3 linked regions of the Drosophila melanogaster genome follow. The protein of the gene in region 3 interacts with the protein of the main gene of each other region in a pairwise test. Each region holds a gene or a part of one and is shown on either strand. Other genes may lie near its edges.

Region 1 (6,849 bases), 4.5 Mb from region 3:
CTCCTTCACAACAGCAGCAGCAGCCAACTCGGGTGTCCAAGCAACGAAGTCCGAATACCAATGGTAGTGCCCACACCATGGCCTGTTTGCGCCAGGAGAAGACCTACAAGGAGCAGCAAATGGAACCGCCCAGTATGCAACCGCAGGCCAGCAAAACTCTAAATATCAAGAGCACGCGCCGCAAGAATTCCATCGGTTGTTTGAATAGTTTCTCCTCCTCGCCAGATTCGCCTGGTTGCTACTACACTATAGCGTAAGTAATCAGTAGTTAGAGCTCGGCATATTTATACAATTTGTATATGTATGTAGTAGTTACTCGGCATCCAAAGTTTCAGACAAATGAATTCCCCACTAAGCACAGTTCTTTCAATTTGTAGAGCCTCGGCAGCACCACCGTCCAAGTCGCAAAGTTTACCAGCCCACGCCTCCATCAAGCAGTTGGATGCGGTTATTTTGAGCGCGTTACGTGTACCCGCCGATGTGTTGGCTAATCAGATTACGCTACTGGATTTCCCAGTCTTTGCCCAGATCCAACCGGATGAGCTGAGCAGTTGTGCGTGGACGAAAAAGGATAAGCATGTCAATACGCCGAACATTGTGGCATTTACTAAGCGATTTAACCACACGAGCTTTTGGACAGTCCAGGAGATTCTCAATGCCGAGCAGCCAAAGCAGAGAGCCGAGATTATTACACACTTTATAAAGGTGAGTAGACTTGAGCCCCCAAATAATATGTCGGTTCACATATTGATTGAATGTTTCCCTTTTAGGTGGCCAAAAAACTCCACGAGCTCAACAATCTGCACTCGCTGTTTGCCATTATTTCGGCCATGCAAAGCGCCAGCATATATCGCCTAACTAAAACCTGGGCTTGCTTATCGAAAAAGGATCGAAATGCATTCGATCGCCTCAGCGATATATTCAGTGATCAGGACAACTGGGCGAATCTGCGCTCCTACCTCGAGAGCCTCCGCCTGCCCTGCATCCCCTATCTGGGTCTCTTTCTCACCGATCTGATCTACATCGATTTGGCCCACCCACATAAGGGCGGATTGGAGCCAGAGCAGCGTCGCAATAAGATGAACAATATATTGCGTGTAATTTCGAACTATCAACAGTCGAACTATAAGCATTTGCAGAAGCATGAGGCGACACAAAAGTATTTGACTTCGATAAGGTATATAGAGGAGTTGCAGAACATATTCGAGGAGGATCAGTACAAGTAAGATTAATCTTTTGAATCCGAGCTGTTTTCTTATCTAAAAATAATGCTGTTATAATACTCATTAACCTTTCAGGCGCTCTCTAAACCTGGAACCTGCGTCGCCCTCTGGACCCAGTTCTTCGTCCTGCAGCTCAAAAGAGTCCTTCAATGTGGAAGTAGTTACTCCGGCCCTTGGATGCCTAAATCTCTCGCCGGCCAAAACCATTGGCTCCATGCGAATGGCAAGCGGCACAAAATTTGTGCCAGGCCATCGCAAGTGTCGCAGTCTGGGCACCAAGTAAGTAAAAGGAATCCTACGTTTTGAGAGCCAACACTTGGCTTCCCTTGTTAACCACCTGTTTGAAATCCACCACCTCGAATCACTGCGCAAGAATTGGACATTTGTACACTGGGTCCTTATTAATCGTTTAAATCTCTATGTCTCTCACTTCTACCGTTTTGCTTTTGTCTTATGCTTTCGTTTTGTGTGTGTGTTCGTTAATTGTCAAACATCCGCCTCTGCCCAAAACGAATGAAGATTTCGCAGCAGCAGCCTGCCGCGAAACTTTGCCGAGAAGTGCCAATGTTGCATCGTCATGATTGCGCCGGGCATCGGCACCATCTCCAACAAGCGTTGCAGATGCCGTCGGTGAGTCCAGAACAGAGTCCTGTAGCTAGGATATGTGTGTATTGCCAGCTTGATACTGAATACTACTGATTCGATGCGTTATCCTCATTTTAACATTTGATGTGTTCAGTTATCGTCTCCTCATTTTCTTTTCTTTTGCACGGACCCGAGTTGAAAATGCTATGATATACACAAATACACGACCCAACACTTGACTCATTTCATTTGATTTTGATTTGGGAAACCATGCATTACTCACCAACCTTACGCACACAACTTCCCCGAACATATTAGAAGGTTCTATCGCATTTATTTTAAACAAGAAACCTTAGTCAATTCTATGCTGAGAATAAATCGATATAACCTACAAATACGAATCGCAGTTCACCCTTGTTTGCCTTTTTGCTATTTCATTTCTTCTCATTTGTATGAACAGCATGAATGGCTCCAACCCGCAAGAATATCTTGACTAAACCATTTTCTCCTTTTACAGCATTTTTGGCAAGATTGCAACGCACAACCACAGCGATGGACATCCTCACCACCTGCACCTGGAACTTGATCCGAGTCAAGTGCAGCCTCGTCACCACCTGCTAGATGATTCGGTCTTGGAGCACAGCGATGCCCTATCCCAAGCAGATCTAACATCGTTGGAAAGTGCAGAGGGAATTATGTGTGATTTTACCGGCAGCGATTGCGATTTGATGTCACCAGAGGCAGCAGCCGCCATGCACGGATGTGTCCGGCGTAAAACAGTTCAAAAGGAGGGAAGGAAGCCAGCGGTGGCATCTTGGCAACGATACTGGCTACAGATTTGGGCCAACTCGCTGGTGTATTTCCCACCCAAATCCTTTAAAGGAAGCGAACGCAACGACTTTAAGCGGGAACCGTGCAAAGTGTGTCCATTGGATGGATGGTATGCCCACGTGAGCGATAACACCAAGCACAAGAACACCTTCGAACTGTGCCACCGAACTCTGGGCACCGTCTATCGCTTCCGGACGGACAGTCCCCAGATGACGCATCTCTGGTCGAATGCCATTTGCAAATTGGCCACCATGCGAGTGCCCAAACCTCTGCCCACCAACCTAATGTCCTTTGAATAAGCCGGGCGCCCAAGAACACACAGAAACTCGAATATATATTGTACTCATTGTAGCCTAGTTTATCTAGTTTAGTTAGCTTTAAACCTTGAAACGTGCACAGCCAAAAAAAAAAACACCCACCCACCACATCGCTCACTCACTCCCTGAAACGAGGCAACCACAGAACATTCCCGCAACCACAACGAACGAACAAATTGCAGCTTGCATCAGATGAATCGATTTCAAAATGGTATTTCAAAAGACTGACACCGAATGAGAACACGAAGATATAGTAAAGGAGGAGCAGTACTACGAAAGTAGCCACACAATCACAACAACAACAACAACAACAGACTAAACCGTCAACGCAGGGAAATTAGAATCCCAAATTTGTAATGGCCCTGTTATAAAAGTCCAATTTTATTTGAATTTGAATGTATCGGAAACGGAATTGATAAAACGGCTTGTCATCGAATATATATTTATTTTAAGATTGTTCAGTGACCCAGAATTTAGAAATGTAGTAAAATCTGTAAATGGGATCCAATACTACTAGCTAAAAACCAGTTTATTTCCGAATTCGCTTAGCTTGGCAACAGGGCTGTCTTTTTGTTAATGTGCTGTCTTTGCTGTACTTTGTATTTGTAAAATGTTATATTAAGTAAATTACTTGGACGTTTACTCAACTTAATTTTGCGCAGACTGTGCCATATTAGTTTATAAATTTATGTGTCTACACAAACACTGTTGGCCAGCAAACGAATCCAAATTCGATTTGCCCAGCTCCTAACTTTGTAACGAAAAATCAAAAATCCAACGAACTTTCTACGCGTAACTAAGGGCTTTAATATTGTGTATCGCTACCACTATCATGATCAACATCCGTTAATCTCTATATCTGCCTTAAGTTGATGCACTAGACATAAATAGAGCTATAAAGTACATATGTACGTATCAACAACAAATGCATGCGTAAATTATAGGAAACGAAAGTAATGTTAGTGTTTCTTTTTTTCGGTTGAGAAATTGAATTGTAACACCTAAGCTTTGTCACACATACAGATTATCATTTGCAGTGTTTTACATTACATTTAAGAAAGAAATGCAACAAAAACAAAATAAACTACAAAATGAAAGAAAAGAAATGTGCGTTATATAAGGCATCTAGGGTTATTCACAACCCAATCAGATCGTGCAAAGTGCGGGAATTTGCAATTCATTTGCACAGACGCACTGAATCACAATTAGGGAGCTCGGCTTGCCGTGAAACTGGAGGCCTTTAAAACGTGAAGATTGGCTAATAGCCTCGCCAGTCGATTGCGAAACATGAAAGCGGCGAAAAGTGGCGACAGGATGGCGTATCCATGGATTAAAATGAGGCCCCTGCTGATGCTGACAGTAATATTGGTCATTTTCTTCAGCTACGGCCTGGCCGGCAAGACGACCACCATGTGAGAGGATTACGCAACTAGCCAGCCACTAGACCACTTTCACTAACTAATCCACTAATCCATCCTCCTTTCTCCCTTTCGAAAAACCCAGCGTTAGCCACACAGACACCCTCGATCCGCAGGCCGATGGCTTCTGGGTCAACAAGACGACGTGGAACGCTCGCTGGGTAAAGTACTGGCGGGCCAAGAAGATCTACGAGCCGGTGTGGAAAAAGGTCTGGACACCCACCATTCACAACGAGTGGGTGCCCTTGCCCAATGTGCCCAATGAATGGGAGGCGGAAAAGGATCGCTCCTAAAAATAGCACTGAGACTGAAACATAGGCTAAGATTATTTATGGTTTAGTTGTTTATATTTTATTTTATATTCACTGGTAATTAAAGTCTAGAGATAATTTAAAGTGGCGCCAAGGCAAATGGAAGTGGAAATGGATGGCCTTATGAGCTAGCGACTGGTTTACGACTATTTACAAGGAGCTTGGAACCGGGCGCTGTTATGCAACCGTTTAGGTGATGCAATGACCTCCTACGCGCCGGGAAACTTGAATGACTGCGAGGTGGTGGCCACCGAGGCGGCAGGTGCTGCTACGGGGGATTTAGCTGCCTCCAGAGACTTGGCCTGGAAGTCGGCGCTGGCCACTGGCTGCAGCATTGTTGGCTTGCCAGCGGCATTGGTGTCATCTCGTTTCCAGACCACCTTATCTTTGCCATCTGCCGTCCTGGTGGCCGTAACACCTGTGTCCTTGCGATCCCAATCATGGTGCTCATGATGATGATGATCGTGGTGATCGGGCGAGGGGAACCATTCTGAAATGACCACTGGCTTCCAGATCTTTTTCCATCCAGGCACCCAGATCTCCTTCCAGCCGGGCACCCAAATCTGCTTCCATGCCTCCTTCCATTCCTGAAAAGAGTTGGAATATTTAGTTCGGATTTTATTTCTGATTAGTATGATAAACATACCAATTTATCGGTCCAGATTTCCTTCTTCGCTGGCTTCCAGTACTGCTTCCATGCCTCCTTCCACTCCAATTTCTTCTCTGGCACCCAGATTTGCTTCTTGGCTGGCTTCCAGATCTTCTTCCAGTGCGATTTCCAGACCACTTTCTAAACATTCGGGATTTAAGTGTTTAAATAACATCCTTAAACTTAAAATATATTTTACAACCAACCTTCTTCCACAAATCGTGGCTGGTGTACTCCCAACCTTCGTGATCCTTGCCCAAATATTTTTCTCCGGGAATGCCAACCTTTAAATTAACATGATTCTTAGCTACATGCACTTAAAGGTAAATGTATATTCCATTATACCTTGACTAGTTCTGGTGTCCAGATCTGCTTGTAATCGGGTACTTGAATATCCTTCCAGGCTGGCACTAAAATCTCTTTCCAGTGAGGAACCTAATATACAGAGTGTATATAGTTAATTGCACTTTCATTGAGAGTTAAATTTAGAACATACCCAAATTTGTTTCCAAGCTGGAACCTGTATTTCCTTCCAGCCGGGCACTTTCACCCAATGTGGCTTCCAGATCTGTGATAGACATAATTAAAATTGTACTCAATCCCTAAATATATTGATTATTTATTTTATTATAGACTAAGCTATTTACCTTCTTCCATGAAGGATTCCAGATTTGTTTCTTAGCCGGATTCCAAATTTTCTTCCATCCCTCCTTCCAAGTGACCTTCTTCTTCCAGTACCCGGGGTCATGGTGCTCGTGATGATGTTCGTGATGTTCGATTATGTGCTCGTGATGGTGGTCGTGGATCAGGTCATCGCCCAGACCCAATCCCAGATCGATCCTCTGCTGAGCGACACTTTTGCTATCCACCTGGGAAGCTGCAGGCTGCTGATCCACCACAGCCTTGGATTGACTGCCTCCGATGGCCAAACAGAGCACACCGAGCAGACCCAACTGAAATGAGCGTGGAAGTTTATGCTTGTAGTTAATAGATACAAATCAAAAGACTGAGACAACGAACTCGGGCATGAAGAAAGCTTGTTTAAATTGAATTCGCAACGATCATGTTAATGAATTCCATATTCTCCAAAGAAAGGTGAGTGACTGAAAACCAGTTTTAAGTGGGTCAGAGTCTGGCATTGTTTTTTGGGCGACCGACAAAGAAATGTTGCATAACCCCAGATGTTTATAATTTCATACAATGCCTGACCTGGGTCAAATGAGCTAGCTGATGACAAATCATGCTGGGCCAAAGACTTTTCGGGTCTGGGCCCTCTTTATTTGGCCAATTTGTTTTATTATGTAAATGGGTTTTTGTATTATTCGGATAAATATGGAACTGTTGGATAAATGACGCAAGCCATCTCTGCATTTGGAGAATCCAACAAGGTCAGGAAACGCCCTCGTGATTTCGCAAAATTAGCCCGATTTGTGGTTACAATTTCAAAAGACCCACAACCAAAACACAATTCCAATCAATTTGCGCATAAATGTCAACGAGACCCGGCCCGATTAT
Region 2 (8,924 bases), on a different chromosome or scaffold from region 3:
GGTGCATAATGCAAACTTGTTGATAGGAATTGTGCCACCCCCGAATGAGGCGAGCAAAACATGGGAATCCACAAGAATATTTCGGCGCCTGCGCCATCCTGGAAATCGGCGAATATAAAGCTCCGTGGGACCGAAGGTCGGTGGGTGGTACGATGGCGATGGTTTTCACTTTCAATATTGAAAGCAGCGCCGGCGGCTGAATGGAAACCGAAACCCCGCAACTGCGTCGCGTCCGATTCGGATTTATATTCAGTCGCATTGTGCCTCGCGTGCGGCAAAGATGTCCGCGACCACACCTCGCTGACGACCATCTGTGAAATCTGTGGAAAAGCTCCCACGCTCCGTCAACCGATTTCCTCGCACTTCCCGCCGATTACCAGCAACATGGGTCTGCGGGACACCATTCGTAACCTACGGCCGGCAAGTCCCGGCCGGGAGAAGTCATCGGGCATCGAGCTGCAGCAGCGAAGTCCGCGAGGTGCATGCCACCACAATCAGGTGGCCGCCGTCCAGGTCACGGAGCAATCATTACAGGTATGGCGCGCACTGCCAGCAGAGATTCGCCACGATCCCAGCATGGCCAGTTTTCAGATGGAGAACGAGAGAATCCATGGTGAGTGAAGGGTGTCATTTGAAATTTATGGATGCCTATAGAAAAAATATTAATATTATTTTTCCTCTTTGCTCAGTACTAAGCCATATAGCTAAGCCATAGCCTTTAAATCAATAAACTGTCATACAAATGTCAATCCATTCCCTTGCTCAATCCACGACATAGATAGCTGGTTAATTACGTGACTGCCACTCACTTTTAGGTTCCTCCGGCGGCGCCACTGACGACGAGGATGAGGATGGATACGAGGAGGTGGATATGAAGAACGTCAGTCGCATTCAGGATGAGCCCGGCTCAAGCTTTGCCGGCTCCGACTTTCTGGACATCAAGAACAGGCCTGGTGATGAGAATGCCACCGACGATGAGGTCACCACCCACTCCGATCACGAAGCGGCCAATGGTGGTCCGGGTAATGCCAAATCACAGGCCCGCCGGATTCATCACAAATCCAAGCGTTCCAAGGAGCAGCGACAGCGGGACAAATTGTGGAAACGGGGTGGACTACTTGTATTTTGGATCCTGTCGGCAGTGGTGCTGATTTCGGTGGGCGAAAAGCATCTGCTGGAGAAGACCATTGATGTGCCAATGGGCGAGGAGGGAAAGTGTGAGTTTCCATCTATTTAGTTGATTTATTTTTATTTTTTTAATTTACATTGGAACATTGTTTTTCTAATTAGTTTTCAAGCTGCTCCAAAAACCCACTGGTGACTTCCGCTTGAAGATTCATGGCGCTTTTAGAGAGCTCTCCACGCTGGATGCCCCCGAAAATGAGACTTTGAGCTTTGGATTTCTGACTGTGCAGCCACAGGTGTCCACTTACATTGGCGAGAATCACAGCCAGGTGTTCCAGGTGAGTATTACATAACTACTGCACAATCGAATATAAAGTTGGCAAGATGTAAGCTTTTTTTTTTTTGGATTTTTCAGGATATACTTCCAGCGTGGCGTTTACCACTGCTCTCCGAGGAGGAACTGATGCTGCGTGCTCCGGCTGTGACCACCAATCGCACCTACCAGATGACTCAGGAGTTAGATGAAATGTTGGCTGGAAAGAACAGCGAATTTCGCTTGCATATCTATAGCGATGTGGAGGTGGATTTGGCCATTGTTCTGAACTATAATCCCTTGATAGTGAATGCCAGGACAGGGAGCATCCTGGCTGGTGTAATCCTGCTAATCTTCTATGCACTGCTTGTTTGGGAACTCTTCGAAAGAACCTTTGTGGCCATGATATGTTCCATTCTTTCGGTGACGACTCTAGCCTGTTTTAATGGTTGGTTACAGAACCCGGGTATTTCTTCATTTCTTAATTATTTGAAATTCCCCAGATCGTCCCAATATGGATGAGATTATCCAGTGGATGGACATGGAGCTACTGACTCTACTCTTCTGCATGATGCTGCTCATTTTGATACTGACTGAAACTGGCGTATTCGACTACCTGGCCGTATTTTGTTTCGAGATATCGGGTGGCAAGATCTGGCCCATGATATATAGTCTCTGTTTGGTCACCTGCCTGGTGTCCAGTGTGCTGGACAACATGACAACCGTGCTGCTCCTGACCCCAGTGGCAATCCGATTGTGCGAGGTAATGCAGTTGGATCCCCTGCCCGTGGTGATGGGCATTATAGTGCATGCCAATATCGGAGGAGCCCTGACGCCCATCGGAGATCCCATCAGTATTATAGTCAGCACCAATCACTTTATTGTGGATAATGTGGGTATAACATATAGGTTATGCAAGCTGTTATATAGATTTCCCCTACCTTTTCAGGATGTAACTTTTCCCACATTTGTGGCCCACACATTTCCAGGTGTCATTCTAGCAGTTATTCAAAGTTGTGTGTACCTGCGCCTCTTCTATCACAATATCGATGCACTGCGTCTCAATGAGCCCAAGGAGATGAGTGAGCTGCGTAGGGAGATGAAGGTGTGGCAGAGAGCCTTGAATGCAGTGGCCTCCTGTTCCAAGGATGCCCAGCTGGTGAGGGGAACGCTCCAGGCTAAGATTAAGCAACTGAAAAGGACCCTTAGAAGATTGCAAAAAGGTGTGGGCTCCACGGAGGTCTATACGAATACGCTGGACGAGCTCAAGCAGAAAGTAAGTGGATTTACTGAACTGGGATCTTTATAGCTGAGCAATCCATTTCCAGTACCCCATCAAAAACAAGACGCTGCTTTTGCAATCCGCTGGAGCCCTACTCTTCGTCATTGTTTGCTTCTTCATCCAATCCGTGCCGCACTGGAGGACATTACCCCTGGGTTGGGTGGCCCTGCTGGGTGTGATCCTGCTGCTGATCATCCTCAATCGCGATGACATGGAGCACTTGATGCACCGCATCGAGTGGACCACGCTGCTCTTCTTCGCCGCCATGTTCGTGATGATGGAATGCGTGGAGAGATTGGGAATCTTCGCCTGCATCAGTGAGCTCACCGAGCACGTTATCCTTTCGGTGGGAAAGAGTCATCGTCTGGCCATGGCCATCTTTATGATATTATGGATGTCGGCGCTGGCATCATCCATATTGGATAGTATTCCGGTGGCAGCCATAATGGTGAAGCTGGTGACCTCTCTGGTGGCCAAGCCATCGCTGGGACTGCCCCTCCAGCCACTGGTTTGGGCTCTGACCCTGGGCGCTTCGATGGGCGGAAATGGAACGCTCTATGGCGCATCAGCCAATGTCATTGCAGCCGGAATTGCCGAGCAACATGGCTATAAGTTGTCCTTCACCCGATATCTGAGAACAGTTTTTCCCATGATGCTGGGACAGATCACCCTGATGACTGTCTATCTACTGGTGGCGCATGTGGTCTTTGAATGGCATTGAGACTCCCTATTTAATACACATACTGAATAACATATTATTGTATCTAATGATGGAAAATGTTTTTCACTTCGAATCTAATCGTGTGTTTTTTTGTGTGAGTTTTACTGTAGTCTTTGTCCTTTTACATTCGCCTCTTGATGTGTTTCATGTGTTTTTGGCATATAAAATAAGAATATTTATATTTAAGCGTTCATTTGTGATTGGCAAATGTATAAAAATATACCATAAATATAAAAGTACACATGGTTTTTCGTTCGCCTTCGTGGAATTTGGCTGGACTGATGGAAATCACTTTTGGTAGTCCATCAAGGCGGTGTTTTTAATGTCGTGTGAAATGTTATAAATTTAGACTTTATTGTCTAAGGTCGAAGTGGGGAAATCGTGAAAATTCAACAGGCCATAAATACAAAACGAAGGAAAATTATAGATTTGATTTTCAAATTTCAATAAGAGGCAGTTCTACAAGTATTTAGATACATTTAAAATTCGAAGCGATGTCTGTATTTTAGAGATTTCAAAGCACAATATAAACATATAATAAGTTAAATTATAAATATCATAATTCTCGTGTTTTCTAGTTTATCCCATATGCACCTTGGTTTGGAAAACATAAACAAACGTAAATAATTCCTGAGACTGACCATTGCCAAGTTCAATGTTGACCAGAATATCCGCATATGAAAGTGCTTGCATGTACATATACATATATATTAAAAGCGAGTATATAGCATATAGTATATGGAAAGAAGACAACTGCTGGTCAATAAATGAGAATAAGACAATGTGGAAAAGCAGCGAGGGATTTCCTCGGGTGGTTGTTGCTATTTATTTGCTCTGCTACTGCTGCGCTTTCCACACTTTCCACAGCGCTCGTTCCATAGGTAAATTGTATTTTAAGTTCACAAACAAATGGCCACGAGGGATTGCGAATGGAGGAGGTGAAACGGAGGACCCGACCTGTCCGCCATGTGGAGAGGAGACTGCCAGCAGTTTTATGGCAGCCGCGAGAGGGAAAGTCGTGCCGACAACGACTGACTGAATTTTAATTAATTTGCGCCAAGGAATAAAGTGAAAATTGGAAATTGGCTTATTTGGCCCAGACTGGCCGCCCTGCAGGCCAAATAAAAATGTGATAAGCGTACGAAATTACGCCGAAATCGAGTTGGTTTTTTTTTTTGTAAGGTGAACCAAGATGACATCTCCCTATGGATACAGTAAGCCCACCTTTATGATAACGGACCACACTCGCGATCCGTATCATCTGCAGCCGGGTGATGACGACGACGATCGGGATGAGGATGAGGAGCGTCAGACGAAGCTGCAGGAGATCATCAGTTGGCTGCACTTGAATGCCAAGCATCGCAGCAAATGGTAAGTCGGCCGCATCAAGTATACGCCGCGGGTGGCCCATGCAAGTCAGCTTATATTGATATTAAGTATACGCCCGGTTGGCCACCGCCACTCGAAGTTTGAGTTGTTTATTTGCCCGGTTCCGTTTTCTCATTAGCCTGGCATTAAATTGTGCTGCAGGAGATGATGGACCCAAAACTTTTCCTTTTAATGTCCTGCTAAGCTTCTTAATAACGGTCCATTGGTTGCGACTTGTTTGTTTTCCGAGATGAAATCAACTCGAGGACATTTTGTGGATTTTAAGCCGCTGAGAGCCGCAACAGATGGTTTCCATTGAGATTGATTACAATTTATTTGTTTTTTAGTTGAAGCAGACACAGCAGTTTGTATATTTCATACTCCATATGCGTTGGAATTCCAGCAGAGTAATAAATGCGCTTTTCTTCGAAACTCTGATTGAAATGATACTCCTAATCCGAATTAATCATGTTTTTGTTTTGTTAGGGATTTTTTCCATTAGCTTGTGGTTATAACAAAATGCCAGGCACGAAGGTATTGTTGTATGCAATTTGTGTGAATAATTCGAAGAATAGTTGGCATATACCCATTTCCAATCCAAGCCAATCTTTTGTTCGAGCAATTCGCTTCTGGGAACTACCATTCGATATAGGTTGCTTATAATCGATAATGTAATACCTTGGACACGTGCAAAATAAACTGAAGTACGCAGTGCAATGTGGAGATTATAAATAAACAATGGGGAATAAATATTGACTTGCGTTGCATTATATTATTTTATTTATAGTTCTCTATTTCCGTTGGCAAATACGTGGTTCAGCAGCCTCCGCAGCTGTTTGTAGGTTTTTTTGTATTAAGTTAAGCATTCGAATTAAGTGTCGTATTCAAATTAGTGCACTCACTCCCACACAAAAATTATCGGTGTAGTGAAAACCTAGGGTAATGCGAATTACATACGCAGTTGGTCCTCAATTAAAAGTTCCGCCTTGTTAATTAACAATTAAAGGGAAAACTCGAGACGGTAAATCACTGAGTTCTCTGGTTTATAGCGCAGTTACACTTGGTTGCAATAGAGAAGGCTGCTCATAAATATACAGGGTGTGTGGAGTCGACTTACATACTTGGGAGCATTATAAAGCATTCATAAACAACGAATAATAAACAACAAAATATGTACAATAAGCAACAGAATTTCATACAGAAAATGATATATTTATATAAACTTAACGATTTTTCTTATAACTAGTTTCCGGGACACCCTGTTTCCATTTGACATATTCTTGACAATCAAACCTGAAGTGAGCTTAGCTTATTATATAAGCGCTCGTTATTTACATAATTATTGTTTATTTACTCACGCTGAGCATTTGTTGTATACATCTACGTCTTGACCATGTGTAGAATCCACTAAGTACTGTATGCATATTGGTTGCAATTAATTTGCATTTTTGCATTGGCTGATACCAAGTAATTACAGCTAACACATCGATAATTGCCGTTGGCCAATTGGCAAAGTTTATGGATACTAAAGAAAAGAGGGAAGGGTTAAATACAGTTGGGATTATGGGCTATAAGTTATTCGCACTGACAGCTAAACACTTTGATGTGGCTGCCCATTTTTACGCTGACTTTCTGACAAGCAAATGAAAAGTCATTCAGTAGTTTCAAGTCCACCCAGAACCACGTGATCCCTCCACGGAACATGCAACCCAAGTTTGGTGGTCCCACGATGACATACATATATGTATGTAGAGATATGTGTGGAAACTTGTCAATGGTTTGTTGGGTGGGTAGCTTGGTGGCATGAAGGAGGTGCGAATAACTATCCCTGTACATGAGGGTTTTCCGCTCACAATTTTCCAACAAACTGTAAATACACTTTTTCTGGTTGCCAAGGGATGAGCTTAGGGGCTGTAAAAGTTCCGGCTTGAATTTGGAATGTACTATGTGTCTCTATGGGGGCCAACCTTTGAGGCACAATTGAGTGGAAATGAATTATGTATTAGTTGTTATTATGAAATGGAATGTACTCAATAGCTTGGCTTATGTGGTATTACAGTTTTCAACCAACTATATTAATGTATTAAGAACGGAAATGTTAAGAGAAAGTAACTGCTGATAGCATTTAACCCATATAACTCCGAATCAACTGCACCCATGCCCCATATTATTCAGATGGATAAGCCGCAGAGACCTTGGGCGAAGATACAATTGTTATTGGAAGAAACACACCTATTGCGTCTCACTGTGGATATCATCAGCGTTATTATTACTATTATTGCCATCGTCTTATTGAATGTGGGTGAGGAAAATTGCGGAATAAAAGAGCATTAATATTCCAGCTTTAAAGTCGCTCAAATGTCAAACGGCTCGTGGCGAGAAATAATATATATATACACGAGTTCACTTTGAGTTCCTTGGAGTGTGTTTGCGTTTCATTGTCCGTGGCATTAGGGTTTTTGGGATTCGGATTGGGTCTCGCATTTGGATTGAGTTGGGGCACAGCAGAAGCTGTTTGCTGATAAACTCGCCTTTTGTCTGCCCATACAGAAGATACAAAAACGTACGAGAATGTGGCACACAAACCACACATGCAAATGGAACCGCGCGTGGACGTCTATATTGTCGGAATTGGAAGCTTCAGTGGGATTTATCAACTTTGGCCTATAAATAAACAAGCGGACGGCCTTAAATTTGATAAAGCTGCCTTTTTCTGCAGATTTCACTTTCGTTTCTGAGAAAGCCTCGAGAGCTTTCGGCGTGATTCTCTTAGTTACATACTCGTAAATGCTGTATCGTCTCATTTCCATGACTATTTTTGGGCTGTATGACAAGTGATTTAAATTCGCACTAATTGCTCGACCGGTTGCTCGTGGCTTCTAAGCTCTGAATAGCATTAAGTCTACCGATTAATTGAGCAGACTTAAGTTGGAGTAAACAAATGATTAGATTGTGTGAATCACATGTATTTATTGCAGATTCACCACCCATAATAACTTATTGAATACAAAATATTTTCAAGACATTAGACAGAAACAAAGGTAACCAATAGTAACCGAATATATATGTTATTATTAGACTTAAGTGACTTAAGGTTCTATAAAATAATAATTAGCTATAATTAACCACCGATACAAATTAGTTGTGCGTGAGATACTTTTAAAGCACTCTTCTCATAAAATAAACAACTAAAATTCTGCCGGTCTAAAAGACGCAAGTTCAAGTTGTTGGCCATTGGAATCCGAGCGATTCCAGCTGAAAAAAAAACCTCGAGGCATTCAACAGCTATTGAAAGCAGCCAAGTTCCATTCAATTCTCGGCGGCGCTTTCAATGCGCCGTTCAACCGAAAACAGCTGCGACTTCGGCGCCGCACGAAGTAGCAACATGAGTATCGGAATAAGTAGCTATAGCTACGCCTGCATGGCATCGGATCGGCATCGGATGGGCATCGGATGGGCATCGGAATCGGAATCGGCAGTAACCGGCTGAAATAACTAGGAACGCGGCGCCGAGTCCGCAGATTTATTCAGTTTACAACTTTCGCTCGAAACGGACGTGCGACTTTGTCCGGCAATCCGCGTTCGAGTGGCAAACAATAGCTATACAAATAAATAGTAATCAAACAAGCGAGTGCACAATAGGGGCATAAAACAACAACAAGAGAAAAAAAAAGTAATTCAAACCTAAAGTGAGCTTATCATCGAATCTAACTTCTTAAGCAAGTGAGACTTTTCTTGGAAAGTTCAGGGTTGTGGCTGCAGCAGGTCGCTAGACAATCTAAAGGAGATAAAGGCACATTTAATTATGGAAATTTTTCCTTTGTTTCACGCGTATTTCCAGTTTCTTATTACCTCGGGATAATTTTGCTCATTAGGCGGGCCCAAAAAGAAGCAATTCCTTTGCATTAAGCGTTCCTAATTAGTCTGCTTCTGACTTTCTGAATAATTGCCTAGCGTCTGGTGACCGCAATGCACATCTATATATATTTATATATATATATCTAAATTAATTGAAGGATTCCCCAGGATTCAAGTACGTTTTCTATGTGGGAATCGTTGCACTTGGTATTCACAAATTGGTGGCTAAACATTCAGCCATTCGATGGCATGTGAGC
Region 3 (8,079 bases):
GTATCGGACTTCCTTTCGGTCACATTACTGGCGGACTTCCTTTCCGGTCCGGAGGAGAGGAGCATCCGCTTGGTGCTGTACAGATCACCACTGCTGGCTCGCGGATCCCGCTGGCGACCAGCGAAACTCAACGAGGCTCCGTGGGTGGTGATGAAGGATGTGGGCGGTGGGGGCTCGCCCCGCTTGATGGCCTCCTTTCTCTCCTGCTCGCGGCGCTGCTTTAGGGACAGACGGGCCTCCCGCATGCGCCGCTTCACCTCACGCTCCTCGAACTGCTCCTGATCGAAGGGTGTGTCGGCCGCTGGAGGACGCGTCTGATTTATGTTTCGCTTTATGTAGGTCTCCAGCTCCTCGTCGGTCATGTTCTTGGTCTTGATCAGCTCGGTGAAGGCCATCTTGGCCTCCAGCTGCTTCGCCTGGGAGCGTTTCAGGCGATAGAAATCCTCGCGCTCGAACTCCTCCAACTCGCCGCATATATAGTTATAGGTATTTTGCAGGATGGGTATTACCTTGCGGATACAAAGTGATATTTATTGAAGATTATCCATGATAACATATGGATCATATGAATTAATTATAATTACCACATGCTCCAGAGCATTGACCCTCATGTTGGTCTGCAACGAGGCTGCCTCCAGCATTCGCACTTGGTATTCCAGAGAGGCGAACTCCACCAGTGCCTTGAGTGCCTTCGTATAGGAGTCCCTGATTCGGCTCACTTGCATACCGCCACAGCTGAGACCAGCCAGCGGAAAAGCGCCCACGCCCTTCGTCTCCAGCTCCAGGGTGTTCAGCTTGACGCCCACAATTTTGATCTCCGTGCGGCGTAGCGATACGGTTGCCACGTGGCTGCGGCTTACCATCTGCGGCTTGAAATCGGCGCCCAGAAGATTGGCCTTTGCCATCGAGAATATGGCATTGCGCATCGCCTCATCGCCGTGCATGTCCTGGTCGAAGCGGATGCGACGCAATTCGCGTAGCTTCATATCGATGGCGTCCCGCTTCCGCTTGAGGAGACCCACGCCCCTTCTAGCCGCCAAAACGCGCTGCTTCATGATCACCGAATTGGCGCGGGATGGAAAGATGGGCAGGATATCGCGTTTGGCCATGGCGGTGACTTTGGAATTGGACTCTGATCACGTAGAGTTTGAATTTGGCCGAATTGTAGACTTTGTTACAAACGAATTACTGATGTGAGTATAAAAACATATGTATATTTTTAAAACCACGCTTATAAGAGGTTTTCAAATGCTTATGGAATAAATATGAAAATTGTGGAAGAGTGCTATGAATTAGCTGGGATTTTATGACTCAATCGGCAAAAAGTCAACAAATTTACTCCCTTGAATTCTTTTCGAGCTTATCAAAACTTTCAATTTGTATAGTGAATGCAGTGGTGTATATTATAAATATTTTGTATGAATAAGAAATTTTAGTGCTTGCCAAAATAAGAATTAGAAATGAATAGTTATTTTAGGCTGTAATTATACTAATTAAACTATTTATCAATCAGTTAAATGAATTGTTAACCCTATAATTGAAAAAAAAAATACCAAACAAATTCCTGATCCGCCAAAATCATTTTAAATTACTCATACGCATAGTTGCCTATGGAAAATTACGCATACGCAACGTTGCCTTATCTATGCCTGATATTTAAAACAGCATTTTTATTTAGCTCTCGAAAATGATGTTTTAATTTACATTAGCTTAATCCCTAGAAAATGGAATCATTCACATATAATACATTTGTTATTTGTGCTAAAGATAATGTCCACAAATCGGCAAACCAGCGAATGCGTGTGTGTGTGCAATTACAATGCGGAACGTTTGACCATTCCACTGGGATTTCACATTGCCCATTGGACAGTTGGCCACTGGACACCATTGGACGGCGATTTTGCCCATTTTCCAGCTGCCGTACGATTTCCTTTGCCGCAGCGAATTGTCGCAATGTGGCGCCGCTTGGTGCAACGCAGCCTTGGCGCATTTGCAACGCATGCCAACAAGTTAAGTATGTTAACCTCTGGAAAATTAGACATGCCACAAGGGTTGGTGGTGCGGTGTGAGCTGGGCGTTGGGCGGTGGGTGGTGGGTGATGGTGTGGCAATAGCGATGGCTAGGTAACGAAAACGAGAATGAAAATGAAGTAACAATGCAGCAAACATCGGGCCAAAAGAGCGTTTGTAGTTGTCGTTGTCGTAGTCGTTGTCGCTTGGCGACGACAGCAATGCGCCATTTTTCGTTCGCCCCGCAAGACATGAAAATTTGGCTTTTCCCTCCATCGCTGTATGTGTGTGTGTGTGTGTGTGTGTGCGTGTTGGGTAAACATTCTGCCAGGCGTTTTCATTCTCTCTTGGATTTTCGCAATCGCAGGGAAGCCACACATTTCGCCCTCTGACCCCATAGAAAAAACCGCGTTGACAATGTCTTAGGCGAAATTTATCGCAGTTCAATAGAAAAATATTTAATAAAATTGGTTAGCCTTGCTGAATAAAGGAAATAATCATTTCTTTACTCTAGAATATATAAGAAATTCCAGAAAATTTCTGTGTGTTGTCAAGTGCCAAGTAAACACGATTTAATTGCGAGTAAACATTTGCCTTTTCTCTTATGGAAATATTAATTTGCATACATGGGTACTTATGCATGCTTAGTGATTTTCATGCCACAAAAGCTTGCAAACAACAAATGAGCTCAAGCAAACATAACTTTTTAGCATGTGACAGTTTTAAAAAATAATGAGAAAACAGGATACATATATACACGTTAGTAGTAGTAGAAGGTTGGAATATATTCGTATTTCTACATATAAATTGTACAATGTAGAAATATACAGAGATCCGGTTTGGGACACTACTTTCCCTTCTTGCCCTTGCCCTTTCCCTGGCGCTTCCTCTTGCGCTGATCCTTCTTCCACTTGCGCCAGTATTTTTGAATCTTGCCCGCCGCCCGGTTCATCATGAAGATGACCAGCTTCTCCTGCTGCACGCGACGTTCCTCCTCCTCTCGCTTGACCACGATGTTCTTGTAGATGCGCTCCTCCTGCCTGTACTGGACCATAAAATCGTCGAGGACCTTCTTGGCAGCCAGATACTGATCCTCCGCCACCAAATTCTCACGCATCTTTTCGCCCAGGCTGGTATCGTACTTCTTAAGCATACTCTGCAGTTGCAGGAGCAATTTGTTTCTATAAAGGATTGAGAGCACTTAAATAATAAATTACTCGATTTGTAGCTTACTTTTCGCTTCGCAGCTCGTGCTCTTCGGCCAGATGCTTCTTGGTCATCTTCTCGTAGCTCTCCCGGGCATTCTGCAGCTCCTCCTCCAATTCCTTCTGCCTGTCCATGCTGCTCTTGTGGTAGCTTCGCATCGTGCGATGGCACTTTTCACTGTAATTTGTAAATATATTCAAATAAGAATTTCTAGAACTAGAAATCCGAGTTACATTTCGTTCTGAATGGCCACGTTGTTCTGCCACTTCTTATTGGCCAGATCCTCCTCGACCTTCATCAGATAGATGCCCTTGGCGGCCGTCTTCCATTTGCCAATCACCTTCTGGAAGGCCAGGCTCGCCTTCAGTTCCTTGATTTTCTTCTTGATGTCCACATTCTGATGAAAGATGGCATGGAGCTTTCGCTCCTTGGTAATCTCGCTACGCGAGGATCGGTGCAGATGGACGTGGGCGCTCTCCAGGAGAAAGTGAAAGGCGGCCAGCAATTGGCGATCCCTTTCGTTTAGGTTCTTCTTCAAGTGCGGAAAGAATCGATGAATGCTATGGTTGACCAGGAAGAAGTCCACGATTCGCATGGTGGTGTGGTCATGTGGCAGCTTGGAACGTCCACTCTGCTTGCCAAGGTGGCGGATCATGTCATCGATGGGCTCGAGAACCTCCTCATAGCAGGTGTCCTTCAGGACGCTCTTCAACTTCTCGGGATTCTCCAGCAGCTTCGGTATGATCATCGCTATCTTGATGCGCTCCTGGGACATCTTGAGCACACGTTCCACTCCTTCCAGTCTCACCTGACGTTCGGCGGTGGTATCTGGAAGGAAAAAGGATATGACTGGTTTTGTCTTAAAACATTCATTTTATACTAACCCATTTTTACTTAGCAGCTTTACGGATCCTGGCGCATATATAAAATCCTCATTGAAAGATTTTCGTTTACACAGACATTAATAACTTTACAAAATTTCCTTTTTGCGATATAATTGTGTGCCGGGTTCTTTTAAAATGTATTAATTTAAACGACTCTCGGATACAACAGGAATTTTCTATTTATTATTAACGAAATCACGAAGTTAAAGCAGATAGGTGCAATTAATCTGCCGCAACCTGGAAAGTGAAGCTTTTTTTTCCATTAAATGTTCTTGAGCGTATTTCACTTGTTTGAATATTCTTAACTTCTATGCTTCTTTTGTTTTTTCTATAATTTATGTTTTTCCGATTTTCTGGCTATGCTTGTGTCGAGGTCTTTTTGAATTCTGAGCCGAGTTTGTTATTGTTTTTGGGGATAAACAAACATGGCTTGCTATGTTGACCGTGTTGCCTGGTTGCAAAGCCAAAGAATATATACCAAATAGAAACCCTTTCGATCAAGGAGCAACTGAAGAAGGGGGCGTGGCGAGGGGCGGTAAATTTGAATGGCACTTTCATGGCAATGACTGGTAGAAACTTTTGCCAAGTGCAGTAGTCGACAATGAAGAGTGTGGGGCGGTTTTCTAGGGGGCGGTGGGCGCTCGCCTTCGGTGGGTGGCTTGTTGCTTGTGTGTGGCCATGTCGCATTATGTCAACTGACGTGGCATGAATGAAAGCTGCTGCAGCAAAGCAAACGAGGGAAAATGCGCTGCAGAGGGGCTTGCTGGGAAAAAAGAAAACCATAAGAGCATGAAACGAACTTGTGAATGCAGAACAATGTTGGTGGGTGGGGTTGGTGGTGGTGGTGAAATGTTCCTCACTCAGGTGGAAAATCTACCTAATGAAACTGGCATGAAAGGGGGAGCCACAGAGTGAATGTAATCTGGGAGCCCTTCGCTGCAATCTGCCAAAAATCGGATTCACTAGTACAGTGGAGTCTCAGCACATCCTACCTAATTTAATTTTAAATAAATTTTAGTTACTTAGACGAAGTAATAATATAATAAGGGTCAGTACTTTTTCTTAAAATGAATAAATATATAATATGTTATAACTAAAGGCAGTAGTAATTGCATAAATGAGCTAGCAAATAAAATGCTGCAATGCGAACCAACTAAAAAAAGGAAGGGCAAGATGAAAGGGAAGAAAAATAAAATTGAGCAAGACATAATATTTGTTGTTGCCTTTGCAAAAAGAGAGATGTGTGAGAAAAAGCCAAAAGAAATGACGCATAAACAAGCAGAGAGAGCAAGAAGAGAGAATGTGCTTTCAAAGTGTGCAGCAAAACGTGTAAAGTAAAAAGGGACATAACAAGAGAGAGAGAGAGATTCAGAAAGAGAGAGCGAGCGCCTCAAGTTATGCATCGAAATTTGAAATTCAGGAGTAACGGGAGAGCGCCCTACAGTATGCAGCCAAATAAGGCAAGTCTGCAGAGAGAACGAGAGTCTTGCGCACACGTATACGTAACAAATGGCCATGCAAAGCACGAACGCAGAAAAACGCTAACGGTACTGCAAAGGAGGTGCAGGGCAAAAGCAAAAATCCAAAGCCAAAATGGTTCGCTCTCCTGCTGGTGGCCCACATTCGCTCAGCTGAGCTCGGCTTTACCGTTAACCGATTAGAGACTTACCGCTTACCATTTACCGTTTCGGGCCGTCTGGCCCTGGCTCATTATGTCCCGTTGCCTTGGCAGTATTGTTGTATATTTTTATAGTCGTCCTCACTCGACAGTTTCCTTTTGAGTTCTATTTCTCCATTTCCATCCCCTCTGCACATCTGCTCTCACATAGATTTCACAGAAATGTGGGCCCGTTATGCTCGGCCTGGCCGCATTGCAGCTATAAATTTGTTTGTGGTTCACATTTGCCTTGGAAGATTACTTTTGGCCATAGTCGTCGCGCAGAAGTGGGCGACAGAGAGGGAGAGGCGAGAACAGCGGAGATACCGCGGAACAATGGACTCAAGGAAAGGGAAACGAGAAACAAGAAACGACTAACTAACTGTGCTTAATGGTGGGTGGTGGTTCGTGGCTAGGGAATGGTGGGGATGGGGAATGGAATGGAATGGGGTGGAAACCCCATAAAGAACCTTTTTGAGAAAGTGTTATTATAATGCTCGGGCTGCCATCGGGAAGGTCAGGTTGTTGGGTCTCGTACCAGCGGAAGCTAAAGATATGCCCCTGGGTCTGGTCTTCCTTTGAGCAGGATGGCTTGGTATTTTCACGATAAAATACGAATTTAGTTTGCGGTAGTTTCGCTTTAAAGAAAATAGATCTAGATTCGTGTTAGGTTGTGGTAGTTTGAGATGGGATTATAAGAGCAGTGTTTATAAACAGATTTAGATTTTTAGTTCTTAGAAACCTTGAAACTTAACGAGAACATCTTATAATATTTTTTCAAAGTTATACTTTCACTATTGGCTTCTCATTAAGAGCGACTTAACGAATTAAAGCATTCGTATGAAGGCGCTTTTCCGGGTAAATTATAGCCACGGACAGGATTATTATGCCTCGGAGTACAGTACAGTTATAGTTTCCTTTTCCCACAACTCGATTGTGCTCGGAAGGCATTCAGTTGCCGCGCAGGATCCATTTGGCCGGGCACCTGGTTTTGTCACCTGAGCGAGGACCAAAGGAAGCGCTCGCACTGGCAAATGAAGTGGCACCCAGCCCAGTTCTCGCCCCATTGAATCCTGTCGCCCACCTGGACAACTTTCCTCTGAATTTTTCATGGCTTTCTTGGTGTTTTTTTTTGGTAATTTCTCTGTCTTTTTTTTGGGTTTTTCCCTGTCTTGTTTCCGTTTGGCAGTTACACTTTTGGACTGTAGTTTTTGGATCTGTTCCGAGGCAGTCTGGCATGTATTTTGAGTTGGTAATGTTTGGCACATTTTATGGAGCAACTTGCACTCAAGTTGCCCCGAGAACTTTTGGCTTTTGCTTCCGTTTGGTTTGACTTGCCAACCTTCTCTGTAATTTGAATGTTCTGAACTGTGAAGCGAGCGACAGAACAAACTGTCGTTCAGAACCTGCAAAGAGTTAACTTGGCTAACAAAGTGTATCCAGCCAAGCCAAAGCCAAGCCACCCAACCAGCCTACCCATCCACTCGACTTGGTTGTTTCAAATTTTTGTTGCTATTAGAAAAGTTTCTGTTCGCTTTGGCGAGCATTTTTTTCCTCATTTTTTTATAATAATTTAATAAACTATCAAAAGTTTGGGAAAGATTTAGCTTTCGCTACGCTTGGAGAACAAACGAAATTGAAATTCAAGCAGCAAATCCAAATCAAGGATTCCAGGACCTTGGCAAGTTTATCAAAGAAATCCGGGCAAAAACAGTTTCAAGAAACTTTAATTGGATCAGCGTAGATATTGACATTTCCTAAATGGGGGCCGTTGCAGAAATGCCAAAGTAATTACATACTTAATACATACAAATAATATCCAATTACAGGCATTTTTGTATTAGCTATTAAGTTTACTTTTCTGCTTACATATTTTCATCACGCAACATTCATGTAGCTTCTGCTTCTGCGAACCTTTGCAGATACTTAATTATGATATAAGATGGATATTTTATTTCATACATATTTCAGCACGTGCTGACTATCGCCTGGCTGTGATCATCTTCAAATATTGTATTTATTATATATTTTCTGTTTGACCAAAGTCAACAATAAACGACAAAATGACCGCACGTGCACCGGGTTTGTTTGCCAAACCTCACTTCCGTCTCCCTCCCCCCTCCCATATCCTGACTTGCCTGTTTAATTTAGGCCAAAAGCAGCAAATGTCCGGGCCAAAATGATTGATGATATTGCGTTGCGAAAAAAAAATGGCGAACAAAATTCACTTGTTAGTGGTAAACCCAGCCGCTTACTTTCATCTGACTGATTCCTCGCGAAGCCGGCGAAAATCTCTTCAGACCAAGTTAATAAATTGTTTGGT

Evidence for each region. Proteins that work in one complex are often made in the same cells at the same time.
Region 1: the proteins of CG13168 (region 3) and CG15919 interact in a two-hybrid assay, tested with the Drosophila melanogaster proteins (one large-scale study listed by BioGRID).
Region 2: the proteins of CG13168 (region 3) and hoe1 interact in a two-hybrid assay, tested with the Drosophila melanogaster proteins (one large-scale study listed by BioGRID).

The regions. Positions count from the first base shown.
Region 1 is NT_033778.4:16,788,414-16,795,262, forward strand, and holds CG15919 (uncharacterized protein), read left to right. Parts: upstream 1-4,228; 5' UTR 4,229-4,243; coding exon 4,244-4,368; intron 4,369-4,459; coding exon 4,460-4,667; 3' UTR 4,668-4,766; downstream 4,767-6,849. Other genes in the region: RalGPS (Ral GEF with PH domain and SH3 binding motif), read left to right, coding at 1-253, 378-705, 771-1,222, 1,299-1,502, 1,743-1,853, 2,326-2,938; CG15615 (uncharacterized protein), read right to left, coding at 4,895-5,272, 5,332-5,475, 5,541-5,618, 5,680-5,769, 5,831-5,902, 5,982-6,287.
Region 2 is NT_033779.5:4,927,802-4,936,725, reverse strand, and holds the start of hoe1 (hoepel1), read left to right. Parts: upstream 1-4,341; 5' UTR 4,342-4,633; coding exon 4,634-4,812; intron 4,813-8,332; exon of another isoform or gene 8,333-8,532; intron 8,533-8,924. Other genes in the region: hoe2 (hoepel2), read left to right, coding at 385-613, 816-1,217, 1,291-1,463, 1,541-1,886, 1,942-2,330, 2,388-2,714, 2,767-3,441.
Region 3 is NT_033778.4:12,250,385-12,258,463, reverse strand, and holds CG13168 (uncharacterized protein), read right to left. Parts: upstream 4,473-8,079; 5' UTR 4,104-4,472; coding exon 4,100-4,103; intron 4,044-4,099; coding exon 3,449-4,043; intron 3,393-3,448; coding exon 3,243-3,392; intron 3,191-3,242; coding exon 2,857-3,190; 3' UTR 2,763-2,856; downstream 1-2,762. Other genes in the region: Vha36-2 (vacuolar H[+] ATPase 36kD subunit 2), read right to left, coding at 1-509, 585-1,109.